Drosophila melanogaster: one gene and its partners. The protein of the gene in region 1 interacts with the protein of each later gene in a pairwise test. Each region holds a gene or a part of one and is shown on either strand. Other genes may lie near its edges.

What was found.
Region 2: the proteins of HHEX (region 1) and Eogt interact in a two-hybrid assay, tested with the Drosophila melanogaster proteins (one large-scale study listed by BioGRID).
Region 3: the proteins of HHEX (region 1) and cher interact in a two-hybrid assay, tested with the Drosophila melanogaster proteins (one large-scale study listed by BioGRID).

What each region holds. Positions count from the first base shown.
Region 1 is NT_033777.3:21,075,679-21,084,390, forward strand, and holds HHEX (hematopoietically expressed homeobox), read right to left. Parts: upstream 5,249-8,712; 5' UTR 5,006-5,248; coding exon 4,516-5,005; intron 1,718-4,515; coding exon 1,236-1,717; 3' UTR 1,184-1,235; downstream 1-1,183. Other genes in the region: dmrt93B (doublesex-Mab related 93B), read left to right, coding at 133-654, 920-1,120; RhoGAP93B (Rho GTPase activating protein at 93B), read right to left, coding at 8,168-8,392, 8,457-8,611, 8,675-8,712.
Region 2 is NT_033779.5:2,378,713-2,385,126, reverse strand, and holds Eogt (EGF-domain O-GlcNAc transferase), read right to left. Parts: upstream 4,031-6,414; 5' UTR 3,794-4,030; coding exon 2,831-3,793; intron 2,779-2,830; coding exon 2,567-2,778; intron 2,511-2,566; coding exon 2,123-2,510; 3' UTR 2,054-2,122; downstream 1-2,053. Other genes in the region: CG3557 (uncharacterized protein), read left to right, coding at 1-295; PIG-Wa (phosphatidylinositol glycan anchor biosynthesis class W a), read right to left, coding at 396-1,030, 1,084-1,828; Atxn7 (ataxin 7), read right to left, coding at 4,950-6,414. UniProt on the Drosophila melanogaster protein: Catalyzes the transfer of a single N-acetylglucosamine from UDP-GlcNAc to a serine or threonine residue in extracellular proteins resulting in their modification with a beta-linked N-acetylglucosamine (O-GlcNAc).
Region 3 is NT_033777.3:17,120,837-17,128,046, reverse strand, and holds the start of cher (cheerio), read left to right. Parts: upstream 1-2,657; 5' UTR 2,658-2,808; coding exon 2,809-2,834; intron 2,835-3,260; exon of another isoform or gene 3,261-3,288; coding exon of another isoform or gene 3,289-3,558; exon of another isoform or gene 3,559-3,570; intron 3,571-5,364; exon of another isoform or gene 5,365-5,634; coding exon of another isoform or gene 5,635-5,649; intron 5,650-5,959; exon of another isoform or gene 5,960-6,268; coding exon of another isoform or gene 6,269-6,454; exon of another isoform or gene 6,455-6,470; intron 6,471-7,210. Other genes in the region: CG31269 (uncharacterized protein), read right to left, coding at 1-51, 191-916; CG17477 (uncharacterized protein), read left to right, coding at 1,117-1,920; CG45079 (uncharacterized protein), read right to left, coding at 3,289-3,558; CG42779 (uncharacterized protein), read right to left, coding at 6,269-6,454. UniProt on the Drosophila melanogaster protein: Involved in the germline ring canal formation. May tether actin microfilament within the ovarian ring canal to the cell membrane. Contributes to actin microfilaments organization.

The sequences.
Region 1 (8,712 bases):
ACTAGGATGTGCTAGGATGTGGGTGATACCCCAAGGAATTGCTGTGGCCTTTGTTTGCGGTTAAGTCAAACAGCAGCAAACGGACCAAGATGTTCACTTGTCGCATATTAATTTCCATTTGTGGGCTTTCAGGTTGCCCTGAAGCGCCAGCAGGCGGTGGAGGATGCGATTGCCATGCGGCTGGTGGCCAACAAGACGGGTCGTTCCATCGATGCACTGCCGCCAGGCAACATCTTCGGTCTGACCGTCACGCAGCCTAGTTCGCCGCGTGCCAAGCGGGAGGATGATCAGGTGGAGAAGACCATTTCGGAGGTGGAGCAGCAGCATTTGAAGCAGAGGGAGGAGGAGTACAGCGAATCGCCGGCGGTGGCGCAGGATCTCAGTGCTCCCCGAAGAGATAACGTCTCCCAAACGGCCATTGACATGCTTGCCCAGCTCTTTCCGCAGCGTAAGCGATCTGTCCTGGAGTTGGTCCTCAAGCGCTGCGATCTCGATCTGATTCGGGCCATTGAGAATGTCTCGCCCACTGGCAAGTCCTCGCCAGTGGATGTCACCAGCAACCAGTTGCCCAGCCAGGAGCCGGGCATGTTGACCACTATGCCACAGCCCGCGCCGCCCAGGAGCAGCGCCTTTAGGCCCGTGATAACAGATCAGGTAAGCGACCTAACTGCATAGTGCAAATTGTATAAAGTACCTTTTAGTTATAAGTGTACTTAAGTGAATATACCGGTTATTTCTATAGTATTATATTCTATAGTATACAGCAAATCTGTAACAGGTGTTTTGTGTTTTTACTTAAGTTCAACGGTCTGTATTTCCGCTTCCAGAATTCAATCAAGTCACGATTTGCGTGGTCCATGGAAGTAGGAAGTACCTAATGAAATATTTATTTAAGTACATACAAAATCTTACCTTTCAGTACCAGAGCAAATCGGTGGTGGAGCTAAAGCCGCCGGTCTTTGGAGGCAGTGCATCAGCGGCGGCGGCAGCGGCCATTTGTGCGTACCCCAAGTGGTTTGTGCCGCTATCCTTTCCGGTGACCATGGGTCACCTCTCCAATCTGGCGCCAAGATGCACCTTGCCCAATTGCGCCTGCTTGGACAGCTACCAGTTCCACTAGGAGACCACCCATCTAGTACTTACTAACTCGCATAACTATAGTTCTAATAAAATAAATTTATTTATCCTAACTACAAGCTAAACTAACTTATGAGTCAATGGGCCATCCTCTAGCTTCACTTGGGCGTCTCATCCGCCTCGCCTTCGTCTTCGTCGTCGTCCTCATCGTCCTCGGACAGATACATCCGATCCTCCTCGTCGCTTTGTTGGCCACACCTGCTTCCGCTGCCAAGATTCAACACGGGAACACTGCTGCTCGAGGCGCTGGAGGGTGATCCCACGGCAGCGCCTGCTATGGGTCCTTGGGCGGATGCACTGCGCTTGCTGAGATTGGCTCGTCGCCACTTGGCGCGCCGGTTCTGAAACCAGGTCTTCACCTGGCGGTCGGTCAGCTTGAGTTGGAGGGCCAGATGACGCCGTTCCTCCGGCGACAGGTACTTGGAGCTGGCGAAGCGAGCCTCGAGATTTTTGGTCTGCTGGGAGGTGAATCTGATCTGGCCGCCTTTTCGCTTCACGCCGAAGTTCGACATGTAGAAGCTGGCCGCCGGATAGGCATTGCAGTAGAGGGCGGCTGCAGCGGAGGCAGGATTGGGGAATCCTATGGATTAAAAAGGAAGACAGTTTGTTTTAGATTACAATTGCTGAAGAGGTTACAGAACTAACTTATTGTTAACACTTCACTTTGTGAACAAGGGTTTCCTATATCAGATGAGAAATATTTAAACTAAATATTTCATTGTTAATACGATCTTAATTAAAGAACTAATGACATTATAGACCCACTTCAGAGTTTATCAAAAGCTGCCATGAAAAAGTCGAGGACAATCGATTTCTTTGAATAACGATTTTGAACCATCTGCCCGATATAAAGTGGCGCAATCATTGGATTGTGATTGGTGGCTCCATTGGCCCGGTTTTCCCTATCTCCGCCCACCCGCTCTTATCAAAGTAATCGGACACAACAATTGCGAGTGGTACAAGTGTATGGGTGTTGTATCAGTATCGGAGAATATGTCAACGCCCACTTGTAACTGGATGACGACTTGCGAATGGTGGCCATTGCGAAATGGATCGACTGTACGCCGAGATTTCGTAGCAATTGGGCGAAATCAATTGGCACCCGAACGGCAATCCGATTGCGAACCTATCTGCACCTATGTACATACACCTATGTGATAAGGAAGGTGGCCTCTTTTTTTTTTTTTAGTTAAGGTAACGGAAATTCGCACTTGGCGCATATTTGGAGTGTGCTCCATCGCTGAACTAAGCTGATATTTGGGGACCCAGTTACCTCATTGGTGAGGCGATCTGGCCAAGAACCCTTGGAAATGGCCAAATGCCATTAAATAAATAACATCCGATTGCAGATGCCATAATTTAAATCGTTACAAATAGACTTATTCATGTTTATTTTTATTAAGTGGCGTATTCGGGAGTGATAAGGCCGCAGAGCACCCTTATCTTCTTCCCAGCGGCATTTAATCGCTGAAAATTGGATTTGTTATTATTTTATAATGTGCGTGTCCGATTGAAGGAATAATATCATATCAGGTACTTGTCGCCAACACCACCACACCCGCCTCCGCCCCTAACCATTTGCCCCTTGTCCAGGTGGAACGAGTGTCGGGAACGGACGGGCTTATCGTAATCAAATGGCAATCGTGGCTATAAGATGATGGACAGCGCCTATTAATCGCCTCTAATAGCATTTTTGTTTAGATAAGCCAAACAAATCGGAAATCGGGATAGCAGTACAGTTGAAGTGCCCTATACACGACGATACTCCTATCTGCATTGTGTGATCAGTATGGCATAGAGCAAGCTAATCAATACTCCTTTTTTTTTTTTGAGGCGTAGTATGATCCTAACTCAGTTGGACTCATCATAGATATATCCTCAAGACGGGCATATTGGGAACAGAAAGGTGCACTTAGATATTCCATTCCACTATAATGTTGTATTGATTCCTTCCTATTTCACTACAATTATATCGAAAGATACTGCCTGTGATAATTGTGTGTTATCCAAAGGTTTAAATGAGTATGATTTCTCACAGTCCGTCTAATTCGCAGCAGCTCGATTTTCCCAAATCAACAGCTCAATGCCTTTCAATGAAAACTAACTGTCACTTAAATATCCATAGATATAGTTTCTGCTGTCTCTCACCTGAATTTCAAATATTTGTCACTTCTGATAAGCCACCGAAATATTTTCCGATCTGAATGGGGCATTTGTACTGCGAGGGGATGGAATTCGGGACTTTGACTTTATCAGCATTGCTAGGGCTAATCTACCGTTACACCACCGCCCAGAAAACCAACCGGGAAATGCAGTTTTTGGGGCGGGGAAAATGTGATTTCGAGTGGCATTGGCGCCAACACTTGACTTTGACAAATACCCAACTGCACCACAACACACACACATTAATCATGTTTATGGCCCATTTTGTGTGGGATCCCCATTGTAATATTCGGTGGTCCGGGCACTTCGGACTTAGGCTAGCTTAGATATTTGGTATTTAAATGGGGATTTCAGGCAACACCTTTCCCATGGCGATCAATTTCCATGTGTCAACTTGATGAGCGAGATTAAGGTGTCAGCATGGGTAGGTTCAATGACTTGAACTTGGTAGTGTCGAATCAATCCTAGTCTTTGCTAAAAACTGTGAGAAAGTCTAATAGAAACTATGGTTCCAAGCTTCATGAATAAGAATTTAAGAATAGGGATTTAACATATCATACTCTGAGAATGCTTCTGCCTTTATCTGCATTTTAGTGTTTAATTGATAATTGTAGCGCTTATTCATTCATATTCAGGTGACTCATTTCCGGTCATTTGATAGTATGATGAAATATGCTAATGAGGTCAAACGACTAAATTGTTGATAGACATCATTGGGCTAATAGATTTCTCAAAACCGCATTAATTAATATATTAGTCAATTATTTTATGAGCTTGTCAATAACTTGACCTAAGGGTTTCAACTGCGTTTGCATGTATGTATACAGCTCGAATAATTGAATAATTTTGATCTTATTCTAGAATTTTTTTTAATAAAGAAATGCTGTATTGTCTTCATTCATAATGTCGAATAAATATACTATACTTCTTGGCCTTATAACTGCTTTACAATCTTTTGAATTTGCTGAGATTAGATTGCATATAATTTAATATTTCATTTCTATACCTTTTCTATAGCTCTGTGGAAATACCATAACTTTATAATAAATTTGTAATGTCTTCTCCTCATGCACCCTTATTTTAGTGAATGATTTATCATAAATTACCACAAAAATTAAGCAATTATCTTGAAAATGAATCTTTATCTTTTAGGACATTCAACACCCAACTAAAATACATGTTAACCCCACTAAGTAGGTATTCTGAAGTACTCACCTTCGCAGTCCATGGTAAATGGACTGTATTGATCACAATAGGCTGTTGGCTGAACAGCGGCTGCGGCGGCAACAGCGGCCGCCTGGAAGTGGGGCATGAAGAGCGAGGGATTCTTCTGGAGCTGCAGCACCTGCTGGTAGAAGAGCGAGGCGGGATCCGGGTAGATGGGATTGAAGCGCAGCGAAGTGGGAGCCAGGACAGCACTGGAGTCCATACTCTTCATGGCATACTGGGCGGCAGCTGCCTCGCGGGATAGATCGTAGATGTTGGTGGCGGACGATGGAGAGGGTGTAGGCGCCGCGGAGGATGATCCAGTGGCCAAGGATGCCTTGGGCATGGCCAGTGCGTGTGGAGTAGCTATGCCTGCTGTTACCGCCACGGGACTTTGAGAGGAGCCTCTGCGCGATTGAGATCGATGCGAGGAGCTCTTCTGCTCCAAGATATTCTCAATGGAGAAGGCGGCCTTGCTGGACTTGGTGGCGATATCCATATTGGTGGATTCTGAGAGCGGTAGTAACGAACTGTAGATACCGATTGATTGGGTCCGGAGCGATCGAAGCGACTGCGTCGGCCGCAGGCGATGAACTAATGGCCACCAGCTGTAGGAGCCGTCGCAGAGCCCATGGGCGCTATAAATTGTACCAAATCTGATTTCACAGAATATAATAGATTGTACCTATAATGTTGTGCTAATGGGTAGATATCAATATTAACAATAATAGAGCGGTATGTAGATATGCCGCGCATGGGAGATAGTGCCGAGCTACCGGCCATCGATTGATAAGCGAGTGGTGGTTGGTTAGGCGCTCCACTGCCTCGATGGCACTCCACTCCACTCCACTCGATTCCTATTCCCAATACCCAATACCCATATTCCAATTTCCAATTGCAGGCGGCGACAGCTCGACATCGGTACGCGGTTGGACACCCAATCGGCGATCGTTGTATAAATCACAGTCCCTGCTCGCCCGCTTATTGAGCTGCCAACCCATCGAACCCACCACCCAACCACCCAACCACCCTCCCCCAGAACGCCTCCCACTCGGCGGGTCGGTGCGTTTGATCGAGTAATTGTTAATCACCCCTTATCGGTATCGTTACCTGGTTTCAGCTCTCAGCTACTGTTTGGCTATTTTACTCTGTTGATTGTTGTTGTAAACAAATTAAAATTGCCCCAAAAGGCACCCCCCACCCTACCCCCTACCAACACCATCAGAGAGCCATCGCTTTGATTGAGTAATCGAGTTTGTGTTATGATTTCGGCCATGGTGCCGTCCCTCTCTGCTCTTTGGGAACAATATATGCGTCTGTATACCTGGGGCATGGATAGGTGTTTCGGGGTGTCTTATCAGTTGTACTCGGGCTCCTCGTAAAGCCTCTCAGATGATGGATTACTTTTGATTTCGGCTTGGGCCGGGTGATAAAATGGAAAACGCACAGCCCATAAATGCCTTTAATTGTTGTTATTGTTACTGATAGATACCCCTTTGATGTTGTTTTTCAGGTCGCCCCAGAAATTGGTACCTTCGAGATAAGTTTTGGGCCTCGACGAGTTTCGGGAACAATGAAAATCTTTAGTTTCCGCTGGTGGAAAGGATGTTATCATGTCTTCGGTTCACACGATGAGTAGAAAGTAAAGAGTTAAAAGTTCTTCAAGTTTTGTGATTTTGCTAAATGGTGACTACTTTAAATTGGCAGGAGTTCAATCGAAACTGTATGACTTCACTACATATGACAATGACTCAAATTCATGTGATATTTGGCAATAAACCTATTTCTTTTGATATGATTCGCTGAAAAGTGATTTAATGAATTGCAAATAGAATTTTCGGGGGTTCTTCGTTGAAAAGGGGCAGTAAACTACAGTCAATCGATTGGTGATTAAAATTTTATGACATCAAAATTTTAAAAATAACTCTTTGAACATCATACATATATTATATTTTATGTTTCTGTTCGCATAATAATTGATATACCTTAATGGAAAGCACCTTGACTGAAAAAGAGATTAAAACATTTAGGAAACTAATTTATGCAAAGCCTGCTTTCCAAGATATGAAGGAAAGGAAGCCCATACAACATGCTACCGAGTGCACTTGTAATCCCCGGACATATCACTTCGACGCTTCATCATGAGCAGACACTTGTTGCTCTGCTAACTGATAGTCAGTTGTGTGATCCCCGACAAAATCCCATCGATATAACGTTTTGCACCCGAAAAACCCAACTGACGGCCATTTTGTGACATATCACAAGGTGAGTATTCAAATTTATCAACATGAATGGTTCGAATAGAGTATTCGGGGGTCTGATGGTTGGTCAGAAGGAAGCTCTCAATGGTAAGTAATGACCATTCAAAAAGTATTTTGTACTTTACAGAAACAAATTATAACATAATAATGAATAGTTAATAATGAATGGTGAATGGTGATAAAAATAAAATCGTTTTTCGGTGCTATGCGATAACTAAATGCGACCAATTCGAGACATTGACGAGGCCTACTGCTCGATAAGAAGCCATGGCCTGGGGGGCTTATGGTCGTCAAGTGAGGCTAAATTATTAGCAATTATCAGGAGACAAACGGTTTGAAATGACTTCGAAATTGGGCATAAATAATTGTGGCACGCATTAATAACAGCAAAGAAAGAACCGGCTGAATTTGTAATCCCCTCCAATGGGCATGTGTTTCGATGACAAGATGTCGATATTGTTTCCAACTTCATTTTACATTTATAACTTTATTCGATCGCCTCGCAAGCTGTAGGTTTCAATACATATATATATATATATATATATATATATATACATATTTTCACTTGACTTGTTCTCCATGAAGTTGCGTTTGATTCGAACATTATCATATTTATTTATCTTCATTCTTTTATTTATGCAAATGAATAAATATTTGTATATAGCACTACGTTGGCTGCGAGTAATTAATAAGCATCATTTCATCATTGACCTCTTATTGCATTTGATTCACTTATCTCTCTCTCTATCGGCTCTCCTTTCTGATCATCCTTTGCATATAGTGTACATACATAATAATATATATAGAGTTTAATTTAAGTTATCGTTAGCTTTATTTTATAACTATTTATAGGCTTCGCAAGAAGTTATTCAAGGTCTGCTTTGCTTCGCATTGTTTGAGAGTTAAGAGTTTGAGTTTCTTTGAGTATTTGCTTGCTTGCTTGCTTTGATTTAAATTCCATTTAAAGAAAAACAACAGTTAAAATGCAAAATAAATTAATTCAACTACAATTTGAGACATAACTAGGCATGCACACATTGAGTTCTCAGTTTTGGATTCATCTTTCAGTTATTTTTGGTTTGAAAAAGCACTACGGGTTACAAGATCGTCGAGTATTTGGGGTTGTTGCCATTGTTCTGAACAAGCTTCCTAGTCATTACGAAATAAAATTAAATCCATCGACTTTTCGTCCTGATAGCAATTAGTGAGAAAGTTCGAGTAGCAAACGAGTTAAAGTTAAAGTAGGAGTTAGGATTAATCTTCATCATCATCCTTTGTATAAATACAAATTGAGTTAAAGTTAGATTTGGTAGGTAGTAAGTTAGGATAGGTTCATAACGATTTGCATATTGGTAGATTGGTAGGCAGGTCGTTTGCCCTTTTGGATGGCTAACAGACCATTAGACCAGATTGGCCACGTGCGTTGTGTCCATGTGCTGAATTAAGGTGCGCATGAAGGACATCTCTTTGCGAGCGTTCTCCAGGATCACTTTCGGATCCTCCGATGTACAGCGCAGGCAGTTGGGCGCAAACACCATGGCCAGATTTGAGGAGTCCATTTTGGTGCAACTCACCACCTCGGGTATGGCGAATTGTTGTAGGAAATGTATTAGATACGTTAGAACCTGAAAGCAGAGGTATTTCTTAATTTCACAGCTCCTTTAGTTTCGCTAAAAACTTATGACTTACCAGCTGATTTATTTCAGGCAACTTATTAACTATTTCTTTGGCTTTGTCGGGATCCTCTGTGTTTACGCAATCTTCGTAGTAGGCATCCGGTATAAGTGGATCGTACAGTTCTCGGTACCACAGCTTAAGCAGACTGGCTGGCGTGTGTGCATCAACTATGAAATGGGGTAGAATATTAACATTTCATTCAGTAGTTCTTATAAAGAAGTAGTACTTACCCAACGTGTTTTTGTAATCAGGAACATCCCACCGATCC
Region 2 (6,414 bases), on another chromosome or scaffold:
GGCGGGCAGCGCCACGATAAGGGAACAGATAAGCCGATCAATTTCCACCTGCTCGGTGGCCTGTCAACAGCTGAAAGACAAGCTTACATCCCAGATTGCCCAAGGACACAAGGACCAAAAGTGGTTGTGGACCCGTTTGATTCGTGGCAACGATGGGTGCATGGTGTACGAGGTGTACAAGGATTCCGATGTAGACAACTCTCCCTCTAAGATCGGGTCGGAGGCACCCATCATCCTTTTTCTAGTCATGCCGAATGGTTGCATCATGCCCTTTGAGTCTATTTGTGGTCCTTAGGAAGATGGTACTCGTTTTGTATACTTTTTAGCCTGTGGTCAGTTAAAAATAAACTTTCACCCGTACTTTGTATTTTGCTATTTAATTTATACAACAAATACTAAGCTACACGTATGCCTTTTTTTAGCATAAGGAAGACCACTCCAGCACAAACAAACATATAGATGGACAGTATAACAACAGACTCCAGATCACTTCGATGACCCGGGTTCAGGGACATGTTGACCATTCCCGTAAGGAAATTGGAGATCATGAAGTGAGTCAGACCGTTCATGTTCAGACTTTCAACAAAGGTGGGCAAGGATATGTTCTTTTGCCCGTCATCTCTAATTGACTTTTTAGAACAAATATCTGGCCGTACGAGTTTCAGCTCAAAGAAGAACGCGTAGATCACAATTAGGCTTAGGGAGACAGCGAAAATCCAGATTACATAGCCAAAACTAAAAGTTACACGTGCTATGCCCGTTAGAAAAGAACTTATAAAAACCAATTTCCAACAGAGAATGGCCACGAAAAGAATACTCTTTAACTTTCTTATTAGTCCTTGATAAGTCAGGCTATCACGGGAAGTATACCACTTGGCAAAGTAAATGCTGAGCAAATAGAGAGCCACACATCCGTGTAGGGAACTTAAGCCTTCCCGATTGGCACTGAAAAACCCCTCATGGGGTGCAGAAGACATGACGAATTCGGAGAGTCCCAGTTGGAGCACCACTTCGTGAAGGAATAGCAAACCTAAAATCGTAGGAAATTAAAATTTATTGCATTATTATTTTTTCTGGACCTACCTATTGCAAGTGCCAGGAGCTGTTCATCAGAGTTTACCAACAGACTATAGCAGCTGCCCAGCAATTTCGTGAATCCCAGTATGAAGAAGGCATTCAAATGGCGGCCGTATTCCGTCTCATCCTGGTGATAGTCGATCAAAGTGATGACAATGGTGCGAGCAAGCCCTAGGACCAGCAACGGAATAACAGATCTCCTTAGTTTCTTAAGATCAGTGATGCTCCGTGCTCGATGTGAAACCAATCCCATGGTCACCACAAAAAGCCCAATTCCCATATCCATGACAGCTGCTCCGAAAGTCCGGCTTTTCCGGTAATCCGTAGGATACGAAGGGAAATCCACAGCCAGAATGGCGGCACAGGTTCCACTGTAGGCAGTTGCTCTCAGCAGAGTGAAGACTATGGGTCTCTTACCGACCTTATACACGAAGTTTGGAGGATTGGGAGCGACATTTCCATAAATATAGACCAGAACAGCTAAGGAAACCACCAGGGAGTATGTGTAGCTATAGGCACTCCCCACTGTAATCAATATCACGGTGGGTAATCCGATCAGAAACAACTCCAGGAGAAATCTCCTCGTGGATAGCATCGGCAGGTGTCCGCAGAGCAGGCGGGAAAGAACAAATCCCAATATCGTGGGCAGAATGGTTAGAAAGCTATCTAAACTTTCCTTGATAGATCTCCAGGATTTCAAATCCACATCATTAAGTTCGTGCTCTACGAAGCTGGCCACCTCGGCCTCCATTATGTTAAATTTTTATTAGACCTCGGGTTTAAGCTAACGCATAAAACTATAAATTATTACGAACTTTTAAAGCCGGTTGAAAAATGTAAACAAAAACAAATAGTAATGTAAGTTAGCCGATAAAATAGCCGATTATGCAGCAGTCAGCTCTTATCTGTTAGCGGAACAGAAGCGAAATCATTTGGTCACACTTAAATAAATTCAAATTGAAAATGCAATCCTTTTGTATAATACCGATTTATTTTGGGTCTGGCATAAAGCAAAATAAATGCATTTAATCACAATTGAGGCAATCTACAGCTCGTTGCGCTGCGTTTTGGAGGGATTTTCTGATGCCCGTCGGGGGAATTCCTTGTGGGAAAGAATTTCCTCGGCTGCTCCATCGACAAGATGCACAAATTCCTTCACATCAAAGCTATAATTGGTAAACTTGGCGTGTGCGCCGCCCTCGGGATGATGACCCTCGTCCTGTGGGTACACCAAGTCCCGCTGCTCCCAAGTGCGGTAGCGAACGCCACGTAGGCGAGCCAAGTCCTTGTAGCAATTCGGATCCTCGCAGTTGTACAGCTCAAAAATGCAGGCCCAGTTGGGCAGGAAGAGCAAGTGCGTCAGGCCAGCGCCATGCATGCCGATGAGTATGTCCGTGTTCCGTGTGATGGCCAACTGGTTGGTAAAGGGGAGCCTGCGGGGGGAACTCATTAAACTGAAGCCCAAGGAGTGTATTTAAACATTTCTTACCTTTCATAGGAAACACGCTGTACATCGTACTTATCGTTGGCCTCCAGGGGGGCCAGCAGCTCGTCTTCATTCAGCACTTGCCGGTACTTTGTGCGACGCGATAGATATGTTATTCTGATCTTTTGCTGTGGCGGCTTGTAGGGAATCTGCAGGCGGTGCAGAATGAACTCGGAGAAGGCGCGGAAGAGTCCACTATTCGAGCAGCCTTGGATCTAAAAGAAGAACACCTTAGAAACATCGCGACACACGTTTGCCTCCACTTACTATGGGTGTATTGTAGAATAAGCCAAAGATCATCCTGGGCAGCAGCGGCAGCACAACGTTCTTGAAGCATACCCGCTTGCCCTCCACATCGCTGAGTGTCCATACTGGTCGTTGCGAGAAGGCCTTAAATGTGTCCCTGAAGGGCGAATCGTACGGATAGGTCTCCCATATAAGTATCTGCACATCCGTGTTGAAGGCCGCCGGATGCGACTGGTTGACAAAGAGCGAGGCATACAGGTTGAAGAAGTCGCAGAAATGATGATACATGTTGTACGTGGCATCGATTTTCATGATGAAAGTGGGCGTATTCACCACCACATCGCAGAGACCGCTCTCCAGAACGGGATGTGGTAAGACATCAAAATTACGCAACTCCGGACCCCAGGACTGCAGAGCCGATCCAATGTGCTCCATTTCGCCCGACAGTCGAGTCCGATTCAACTTGCAGTGCCCCAGCAGCTGTCCTGGTCCCAGCACATCCATATGGTAACGAATGCGCTCTTCCCGCTGCTCCAAGCCCCGAAAGTCGAAGAGAAGATTCCGCCCACGACAAAAGCGCAGGTAGTGCGTGCACTCTAGCGAGGAATCGCCCAAATAGGTTGGCACGCATTGCGGCGTCAGTTGGGAGAGCTGCTCCTGGATGTACCCGAAGTCGGCCTGGTTGTAGAAGGTCCTAACCTGTGCCTCCTTGCTCCTGGCCCAGCCGGTATGTTCCCCAGGGCACTGGGGCGTCTGGAAGCGGCCAGCTGGCGTGCAGTCCCGCTCGTGGCCCCAGCAGGCGGATGAAATGGTGCCCTTGCCGGTGAGATTCGTGGGCAGCTGTTGTTTCAGCTTGGGAAAGGTGTTCAGGTACCGGATGAGGTGTTCCGACGGCAGGCTGGGCAGGGAGAACCCATCGAGGTGCTTGGCGTCCTCCGCCAGGGACAAGTGTAGTATCCCAATGAGTATTGGCAGGATTGGCATCTTGGGTTCCGTTTGATCTACTTAAGTACTTCGTTGCGTGCGACTTTCCAGCGATTTCCCTGCGACTTCTCACGCTTTCCACGGCAGCATCTTCAGGTGCATTTCACGGCCAGCGATGATGATGATCTCACCTGGCCTTAAGCGGCTAGAAGACGATTATGAGCGGGATAATGTTATTGTCCATGTTAATTGTTCGCGAAAGAAATACCTGTCCGCCAGTGTGGCCGTTCGCCAGCTTAGAAAACGCACACTCCGCGACACCTAAATAGGTAATGCACTTAGATACAACTACAATTACTTAATTAATTTTAACACAATAAAATATTCTTTTAAATTGTAACTTATTTATTCGGCACTTATTTAATCGTTTTAGTGATTATTTGTTTTAAGGATATCTATAGTTGTGCCGCATACCGTAGGGATTATAAGGTTTTAAGCTTCGATAGATATTGTTAGCGTGTTCGTAAACCATTTAGACCGTTATTTTAATACGAATTTTTGAATGGCTTCACACTATTCCGGACAATTTATGTTATTTCTGACCGACATGGTCGGCGGATCCCACATTTCGGCTAACCACAGCCACTGCACTGTTCCTTACCCTTTGCCACTGCAATGTTCCTTACCCAGTGCCGTTGCCTCGAAATCTATCTTCCACTTCCACACACCTGTGCCAGCTCATGGGATCCATCAGAACAGTCGACTATGCCGTTGCAGGCTAAGCTGGTTTCCTTCGCTCGCCGGTTACTGTTCTCAACACATGGAACATAATCATAACTTGCTCCTCGTTTGGAGGAAGATATACACAATGAGGCAACGCTGGGTCTGGAGTATAATTGAACTTAGGCATGCTCTTGTATTTAAAAAGTTTACAGCGTGTATAAATAATGATTTACGAGTACCTAGCATAATGCTTAGCCACGAAAAATAATATGTATAATTGTTAAATTAATTAGAATAAACAAAGAATTACATACAATCAACTAATAGATAACTAAAAGATAATTATCACTTTTAAAAAATGAAGAATTAATTTAAAAAATTATTACAATTTAATTTAGCATTAGAGAAGAGGCTGCACATAATAGCATGGTATTGTATAAACATATAACTAGGGATGCGTGTCCGCACATCTGACCTTCCCCATCGGTTCAGATCAGACGAAGACGCGCATCAAGTCGCTGCTGGTTGGAGTGGAGTTGCCTCCCGGATTGGAACTGTTCCCCTTCCAGGGAGGATTGCTGTTGGCGCTGGGAGTGTTGCTGCTGTTCAAATTGCTGATGTTGTTCATGTTGCTGATGTTCATGTTGCTGCTGCTGTCGGACAAGGTGCGCAGCAGCTGCTTTTTGAGGAGCTGCTGTGGCGAGTGGCTCTGACTTTGGCTGGCGTTGTGGTTGCTCTGGAGCGGCAGGGTGAAGCTGGGGCGGCCGAGGGGCTGCAGCTGCTCCAGCTTGCCGGCCAACAGTCGGCGGCGTTTCTCGTAGAAACTGAAGGTCAGCTTGTTGTCCTCCTCCTTGTCGCGTTCCTTGTCCTTCGTCGGCTGCTCGCCGCCATCCTCGCTATCCGGTGGTGGCTTCTCCTCCTTCTTCGCCTTTCCCATTAGCAGTTCATTCAAACGCTTGGCTGTCATGACTCCCGGCGATCCGCTTGATCCACCACCAGCTTTTCCTCCTACCAGCGCCCTCTTATTGCACCTCAGGCGATCTTGTGCAATGACATTCGATCGCTGAGCGTAAATGGTTCTGCCCGAGGCGGGATTCTTACCCGGCAGACCGTTGCTTAACGCTGGCGAGGGCGGCGGCGGTGTGCGGGCCAGCTGACCGACCACGCCCAGGTGATTACCTCCCGACAGGGATAGCAAATTGTTGTTCGCCTTCCGCGTGGTCAACAGATTCTTGCGGAAGGTGACGCCCAGGCCCTGGGGCAACTTCACCATGCCAAACGTGTTCATGGCCAAGGGACGAGGCGCTCCGGAGTACAGCATCACGTTAAAGTAGCTGTCCTCGTGGTATTTGGCATTGGCCAGCGATGGATGGTGATTGATTTGAGGATTTGTTGTGGGTGGCTGGCTGGCGGCCTTGGCCTCCAGCTTAACAGTCTTTACGGTGTCGCTAACAGTCTCCAGTTTACTGAACTCAAAGTCGGCCAGTTCATCCGCCAGTTGGTTTGCCTCCGTTCCAGAACTCAAGTTGGTTTGTATGCCGCCCGATTGCACGACATTCACGTCCACATTTTCGTAGCCCGCGTTGGTTAGGAATTCGGCTAAGACCTTCTGCTCCAGCATGGAAACGGGATTCGACTCGGTGATCTCGTATATAATACTGGGCAGGATCATGTGCTCCTCCAGCTGCTGTTGCTGTGGATTGACCATTGCCTCATCCGTCAGAGACGGCACGTTGTAGACGCTGAACTGGCGCTGCTGCTCGTGATCCTGAAGCTTCTGATCCTGCTGCTGCTGTTGCTGCTGCTCTTGCAGTTGCTGCTGCTCGAGCATCTGCTGCTGCTGGTAAATCAGTTGCTGCAACTGCATGGCATCGATGGTGGTCAGCTCCTGCTGATGCTCTTCCTCGCCATAAACCTGCTGAACCGCCTGCTGCTGGTACACGGCGTAATCCTCGCCA
Region 3 (7,210 bases), 4.0 Mb from region 1:
CATGACATTGCGTATCCAATCACGATAGAAATAAACACTGGCATGAACGTCCTGAAAACAGAAAAAAAATTCTGATTCGGTTCTTAGAATCTTTATGTTTTCCAAGAGGCATGGAAAAGTATTCTTATGAAATTCACCTACAAAATTCTGCTGTTCATTGCCTTAACAAAAACGATTTCCGATCACTTACCGGAACTCCTGTTGCGCAGGGCCATCCCCAGTTGACCAGTCCCACCAGGTAACCATTGCTGACCAGAGGTCCACCGGAATCTCCATGGCAGGCACCTTCTCCCAGCCGCGAAAAAGTGCAAATGTGACCCACATCACAATCTTCATCGTTGCTCAGCAGGGCTTTGCACTCGCGATGGGGAACGTACTGAAGGTATAGAACCTGCAAATCGATGGGACTGGTGCCCCAGAGGACCGTGGATCCCCAACCAGTGAGGATTACTTCATCACCCGGCTGCATGGGCACCAAGGGCAACGGGATCGGCTGAGTGCGCTCGTCCCAAGCAATTGGCTCAACTAATTCCAACAGGGCAATATCATTGTGCATCTCCGGATTATCGTAGTTACAATGGATATGAATGGCTTTTAGGAAATACCTGCCTCCTGGTTGGTTATACTTATTAGTGCCCGTGACGACAACCAGCCATGGAATAAAGGCATTTTCGACACAGTGAGCGGCTGTCAGGACGAAGGTCTCGTTTATTATGGCACCACCACAGGAGTGGGCACCGGAGATTCCCTGCAAGGATATCTGATAGGGAGCGAAGCCATCCTCAGCTGCCTGACCACCGATGATCCGTTGATCCTTGTAAAACCGACCATCCGTTGAGTTTCCCTTGATTCGTATGGCTGTTATGGATACGAGTCCCGAAAGACCCAACAAAATAAGTAAAACCACTGCCGACATCTTGTTACTGGCCCTGGTCAGCTAATGAAGTTTTCAGTCGTACTTGCTGCCTTCTTGACCATTTATCGGAATCAGATAAAAAATCAGTTTATGGCGCGATTGTTGGAACCTTTGGTCAGGCCATTTTGACTTTCGTATAGTTCAATCAAAATCGCGAAGGGTAAAACCAGACTAGCTCAGTCCGCGATTGCATTTCAGCCATGTCGCTTGCACGTTTCCTATTTTATATTCTCGTGTTCAGTTCACTCTACTGTGACTTATTGGCATTGGAGCACTTCATTGTGGGTGGCCAGAATGCAGCTGAAGGAGATGCCCCCTACCAGGTGTCGCTCCAAACTCTTTTGGGTAGTCACCTATGCGGTGGTGCCATCATATCGGACCGATGGATAATTACGGCTGGTCACTGTGTCAAAGGATACCCGACTAGCAGACTTCAAGTGGCCACTGGTACAATTCGCTATGCGGAACCAGGAGCTGTTTATTACCCAGACGCCATCTACCTGCACTGCAACTATGACAGTCCCAAGTACCAGAATGATATTGGCCTGCTCCACCTGAACGAGAGCATTACCTTTAACGCACTAACTCAGGCGGTTGAACTACCCACATCCCCTTTTCCAAGAGGAGCTTCGGAGCTGGTTTTCACCGGATGGGGATCTCAGTCAGCGGCGGGGTCGTTGCCATCGCAGTTGCAGCGTGTCCAGCAGCAACACCTCAACTCCCCGGCTTGCGAGTCCATGATGTCTGCCTACGAGGATCTGGAACTGGGACCTTGCCATATTTGTGCTTATCGTCAGGCAAATATTGGAGCCTGCCACGGAGATTCTGGAGGTCCTCTAGTTCACCAGGGCACCCTGGTGGGCATACTCAACTTCTTTGTACCCTGCGCCCAGGGTGTGCCTGATATATTCATGAATATAATGTACTACCGCGACTGGATGCGACAAACGATGAGTGGCAATGGCAAATGTGCACAGGTCAACCAGCAGACAATAGATGGATAAAAACATTTGAACTCATTAAAGAACCTCAATTCATAATGTAATTCCTTAATGCTGTAAATAATTTATTAATTTATTAAGCCATTTAAACATAAGATAATTCCCAAACTGCCAGCCTTGTATCAAATATCACCAAACATGCACCAAAACCGCATAAAACCCGCACCAAAGCCGCACACAAATCGCCACCAAGCCGCCAAGAAGCCGCTAACAAATCGCGTGCAAGTCGAACTGAAAACGAAGGGCAGGATGTATCCTCTACGGGTCACTCGTAAGGGATCATTCTGTACGGGGCATCCTCTATTTTTTTAATTACTTGGGTTGCTGTAGTTCACTTGTTTTTTGGCGGGAGTGGTGAATTATTTTAATGTTTCTGGAGGCAAGTGATATTCTTGGCCCACAGCCAGGAGTCCGTTCAGTCGGACAGCCGGAATGTCTTAGTGATTCAGCCACCCGCCGTTTTCTGATTTATTTCGGAAGAAGAGAAGTGTCGCACTGGTCACACGTGTCGTCCTGATCTAATTGGTAGCAGGTAGACCCAGACAGACGTGGTCTTAGTCATGATTTGAGTTGTGAGAAAAATTTCGACACAAATCGCTCACGGCGCATGGAAATTCTGAAAATATTTCTATCGGCACTCGCTGTTCAGATGGGGGAAAAACAACCGGGAAAACTCTCAGTTGTGGGCTGTATCTTGGCATTTTGAAAAAGATTTTCAGTTGCTGTATTGACTTGGACGTGTGCGGTGCGGGCCTCGAATTTTCTTGGAATACGCGGCGTATACGCAATCCGTGAGCTATATGTAGACGCGTGTCTTGCTCATATTTTTATATATACAGCAATATATAACAAGTGAAATTTCGCAACTTGTGCAAAGTCGAGGAAAAAATTATGTTAAATCCAGTGAAAATGCCAAAGTATGTGAAATAATTTTCCCAATTAAGGCAAAACGACTTTGCAATGTATTTTACATTCTTACCAAGAGCGATGAATATTGCGCTAAAAGTATACGGCCAAAAAAAAACCGTTCGAATAAATATATTACCAAAAATAAAATAGAATATTTTGTGTTATGTGAATTTCAGTTTGAAATATTGCGTACAAGGCGTTGCCATTTCGTGATATATTCAGACGATGAAAGGCCTCTTTGCTGGATCCCAAAGAAAGAGCCATTAAATGTTCAGTTGTGAGAGCGTAAAGTGCATTTATCTGTCGGGCACCAGATGTTAATAGAGCCTCTGATCTTTATTTAGCCTCAATCGCATGCTCTGCCGCACCTGGGGTATCTGCGGGGTATAGTACCTAAGGGGACCCGGCATATGTATTTCCCAAATGATTTATTTAACTAGGCGTACACGTTTAAGTGATTTTTTAATAGAAGACATAAACCTTTTGTGCACCCTTTAGCAGATTTGTGCAGGGTCCTTGGGTTTTTCCATCACATGGAGACCTGGAAGTTGACGAAGCAACAGGTGCAGATGTTGTAGTATCCTCCCAGTAGGGATACGATGTGGTAGAATCTCCGTACGGAACCCAAGATGATGAGTATGGGTCCCAATAATATCCGGATGACGTAGTTGAGTCAGAGCAATAGCAGCCTGCCAAGACGCAAAACAACGCAAAGATCGTTAAGAACCTCATTTTAGCCGGCATTAATACAAACTAATAAACGATAGATACAATTTTATCAATTATATACTTCTTATCTTATTTATTTTCAATTGTTTAAAGAAATAATACCTTAAAACAGTTGGGCAAATGCCAAATATTCAATAAAAAGCCTAATATTTAACTAATATTTATTTTTCATATTCTATTGCCAAATTAATCACCAGCTGTTGTATCTAAAAATTTTGAAATTTTCAGAAGACTTTGTATGATTCATTTGAAAGCCCACTGTGCCATTGTTTATTATATTCCAATTATTTTCTAAATATCCAAGTAACAGTGCCGAATCGGGAAAAGCTAAATAAAGCGTTGGCACGTGAAATTACTTGACGGCAACGGGGCGTATGCGCAACAAGAGATTTTAACAGCCCAAGCAGCTGTTGAATTAATTCAAACGCCATGAATAATGATGGTCAATAAAAATAAAATTTGTTTAAAAGTACACGCGCTGCGCGTTCACACGGAAATTAAATAGGTTTTGAGAAATGTTAGTACAGAGTTGTTATGAATGGTGTTTCATATCTAAGCATAATTAGATCTTAAAATTCTTACTGGTTTTTTGAAGTTCATAAAAATGGTGACTATAGTTTAGTTTTCTTAATTTTATTTTACGGATTGATTTTGGTAGATCACTTAAGACTTCCTAAAACCCCTTTTAAGCGCCATGATAGCACTGAAATCAGATAATCAGAATAAAATTGTTTGATATATTTAGCGTGCTCTTGCTGCGTTTTATCTTCAAACGAGCATAAACATTCAAGCCAAATAAAATCGAGGAATTTATGACAGCTGATTTGGCCGGAGCTAGTTAGTCATCTCACAAGAATAAACAACATACAACTGTACATATGCTTTTCATTTAAGAGTTCTACGGGTTCTACGATCCCCCGATTTGGGATTCTTTATCAGCGCCTCGTGAGTCAAATGACGGGGAAATGCGGAATGTACTTGGGGCGACCGCCAGAGATGGCCAAAAGCCAATCATTTTTGCAGGAGGCACTTTCAATTGTGACCAGCAGCAGAGAAGATTGAAGCAAAAACATAAAACACAAAAGACGGCAACCAGTTCTATGAAAAGAATAACAACAAAATCAGCTGCGCGTCGAAAATCACATTTGTGATGAGTTGCAGGGGGTGGGGGGGGATTGCGGGGCAAGCGGTGGGTGGGGACTGGGGGGTCTCATGTGGTAGCGTCGCCAAAAACCTGCCAAACAGAGTCAAGAGTGCAGTCGACGTCGACTGCGACTGCGACTGCGACGCCGAGTCAACGTCACACGCAATACCAAAAACACAACACAAAACATGAAGCGAGATAAATATTGAACAAATTATGTATTGAAGACCTTTGACAGACGAGGATGCACTTTTAGAAACTTGTGAGAAATGTATTCATTTATTTAATATGATCTGAAAAAAATAAAAATACAAACCACAATTTTATATTTTATACTATAACTATGATATACATAATAATATTGTATTCTAATTTCATTTCCAACTTGAAATAATAATAGAAAAAATCGAAGGCAAACCTTTGTTATCTGTCAACCAGTAGGAGTGTGTAGAAAGTATCTTTTGGAATTATAACCTATAAGCGTTACCTAATATTTGCTTAGGGAGTTACTTAAGATGATCCCCGTCTGTATGATTTATCTGAGAAAATAATAATAAAGAAATTGAGCAATAAGCGGCGAGCATTTGGCTGCATAAAAACTTTGAGCAAGGAGGCGCACACAACTCAGTCGAGTTGAGAAATTGTCGCGGCCAGTACGAGTACGTGTAGCAAAGAACCCGAAAGCAACGCGCGCATTTCGTGCACACATTTTCAAAACCAAAAGAAAGAAATTCTGAAATTTGTTTACGAAAAAAAACGAAGGATTTGCCAGTCGTGTTTGTGTTGTGTTTTTTTAGAGAGAAACGTGCTCGCCACGCCAGGAATTGTGTAATTAGCGGGCCATCAAGTGTTCAGTATTAAGCACCCCCACTAAAGTATTACAACTCGAGATCATTCGACAGCGATCCCTATCAACCAACAGAAAAACCATCGATATGGCGTCCAGAAAAGTGAGTTTTTTTTTTTGTTGTTTTGTGGGCCTAGGGTGGCCCTTATCCGATCGGCAAACGTTGCATTTCACCCACACGATTTTCCACGATATATTCACGACGAAAATGGAGGACATGTGGTTCTCATTACCTGTTCATAAAAACTAAATATTTGTCAATTTATTTTTAGTCCAATGGGCGGTCGAAATTTGCTCACTTGCGCCTTCGCTGTGCAAATGTTGGGTGTAATTTTAGTTTCAAATAAATTCAAATTAATTAAAATGGAAGTGCAAATTTATTTAGCATTTCATTGGCGGCGTTCGTCGACGCTGATTCATGCGATTCCCCAGCGATGCAAGTGGCGCCTCACGTATTCATCGTCACTTGGCCGCCGTTTTTGGCCCGATTTGAAATGTTTATTTCCATATAAGGGTATCCTCAGCCAGACGCACTTGTTCCATATGGCCAGCTGTCCCCGAGCAGCTCCACTTCCTTGTGGAATGTAGTGAAGGTTTCGAGTCCAAAATATACGATTGTTATACGCATTGAACCTTGTAGAAGTGCTATTTAGGTGTTTGAAGTTTTTGGGATTGTTCTATATTTTTATTTTACTCAAAAATATGAATATTTTGAAGCCATATTATTTATAAAAGAAATATAATTTCTTGGCGTCAGCTGATTCACATGGAGTTGCTGTAGTTGTTGCCGGTATTTCAGTTGTACTTGCAGAACCCCAATCAATGTTCTCCGTTGTTGTTGTTGTTGTTGCGGCAATTGCAACAGCTACCATGGTGCACAAAAGGAGGAGGATGGCAAAAAACTTCATGTTGCTAACTTTAAATCGAAACTGATATTTCACTCAACATATTTTGCCCTTATATACGAATAAGACTTCAGAACAATTGTTAACACAAGTGCTTGCAAGATTTGATGGATGAAATGGTGGATGGAGTGATGGATTAGGACAGTTGAGTAAATACTCTAATTTGCCTTTCCAAAAATAAATGTACACGTGGCAAATGTTTAGCACGTGTAAATATACAGTACACGTTTTAACCGGATTGGTTATGATTTTCTTAAACAAGTGCTTTATATTAATTATTTAAAGTATTTTAAATCGTAAGCTGAGTTTATGAGGAACATTAGCATTAGCTAGAGCTTTGTTATTTACCTAACAAATTAATCGTCAACTTATACTCGTTAATTGTAGAGTATAAGGGTATACTAGGTTTGTTTAAAAGTATCTAAAAGCTATAAGAAATCGTTTTCTAACTTATATAACTTATTCTAACAGATCTCGGAAACAATAATGCTAAAAAGTTAACAGTATTATTATTATTGCTATTATTATTATGCATAATTATTAATAATTATAATGATTCTATAGAAGTAGACGCAGCGCAAGTTGGTTTTAAAATGATGTCTCGCCCACTCTTACGTCATAAACTATCGAGAGCTGAGTAACGGGTATCAGATAGTCGAAGAAATCTACATTCCTCTTCTTTGTTTTATTTATAATTATAGTTATATTGCAAAATGTCATTGGTTAACGCTTGGTAAACCATAATTTTAAGGCTGAGTA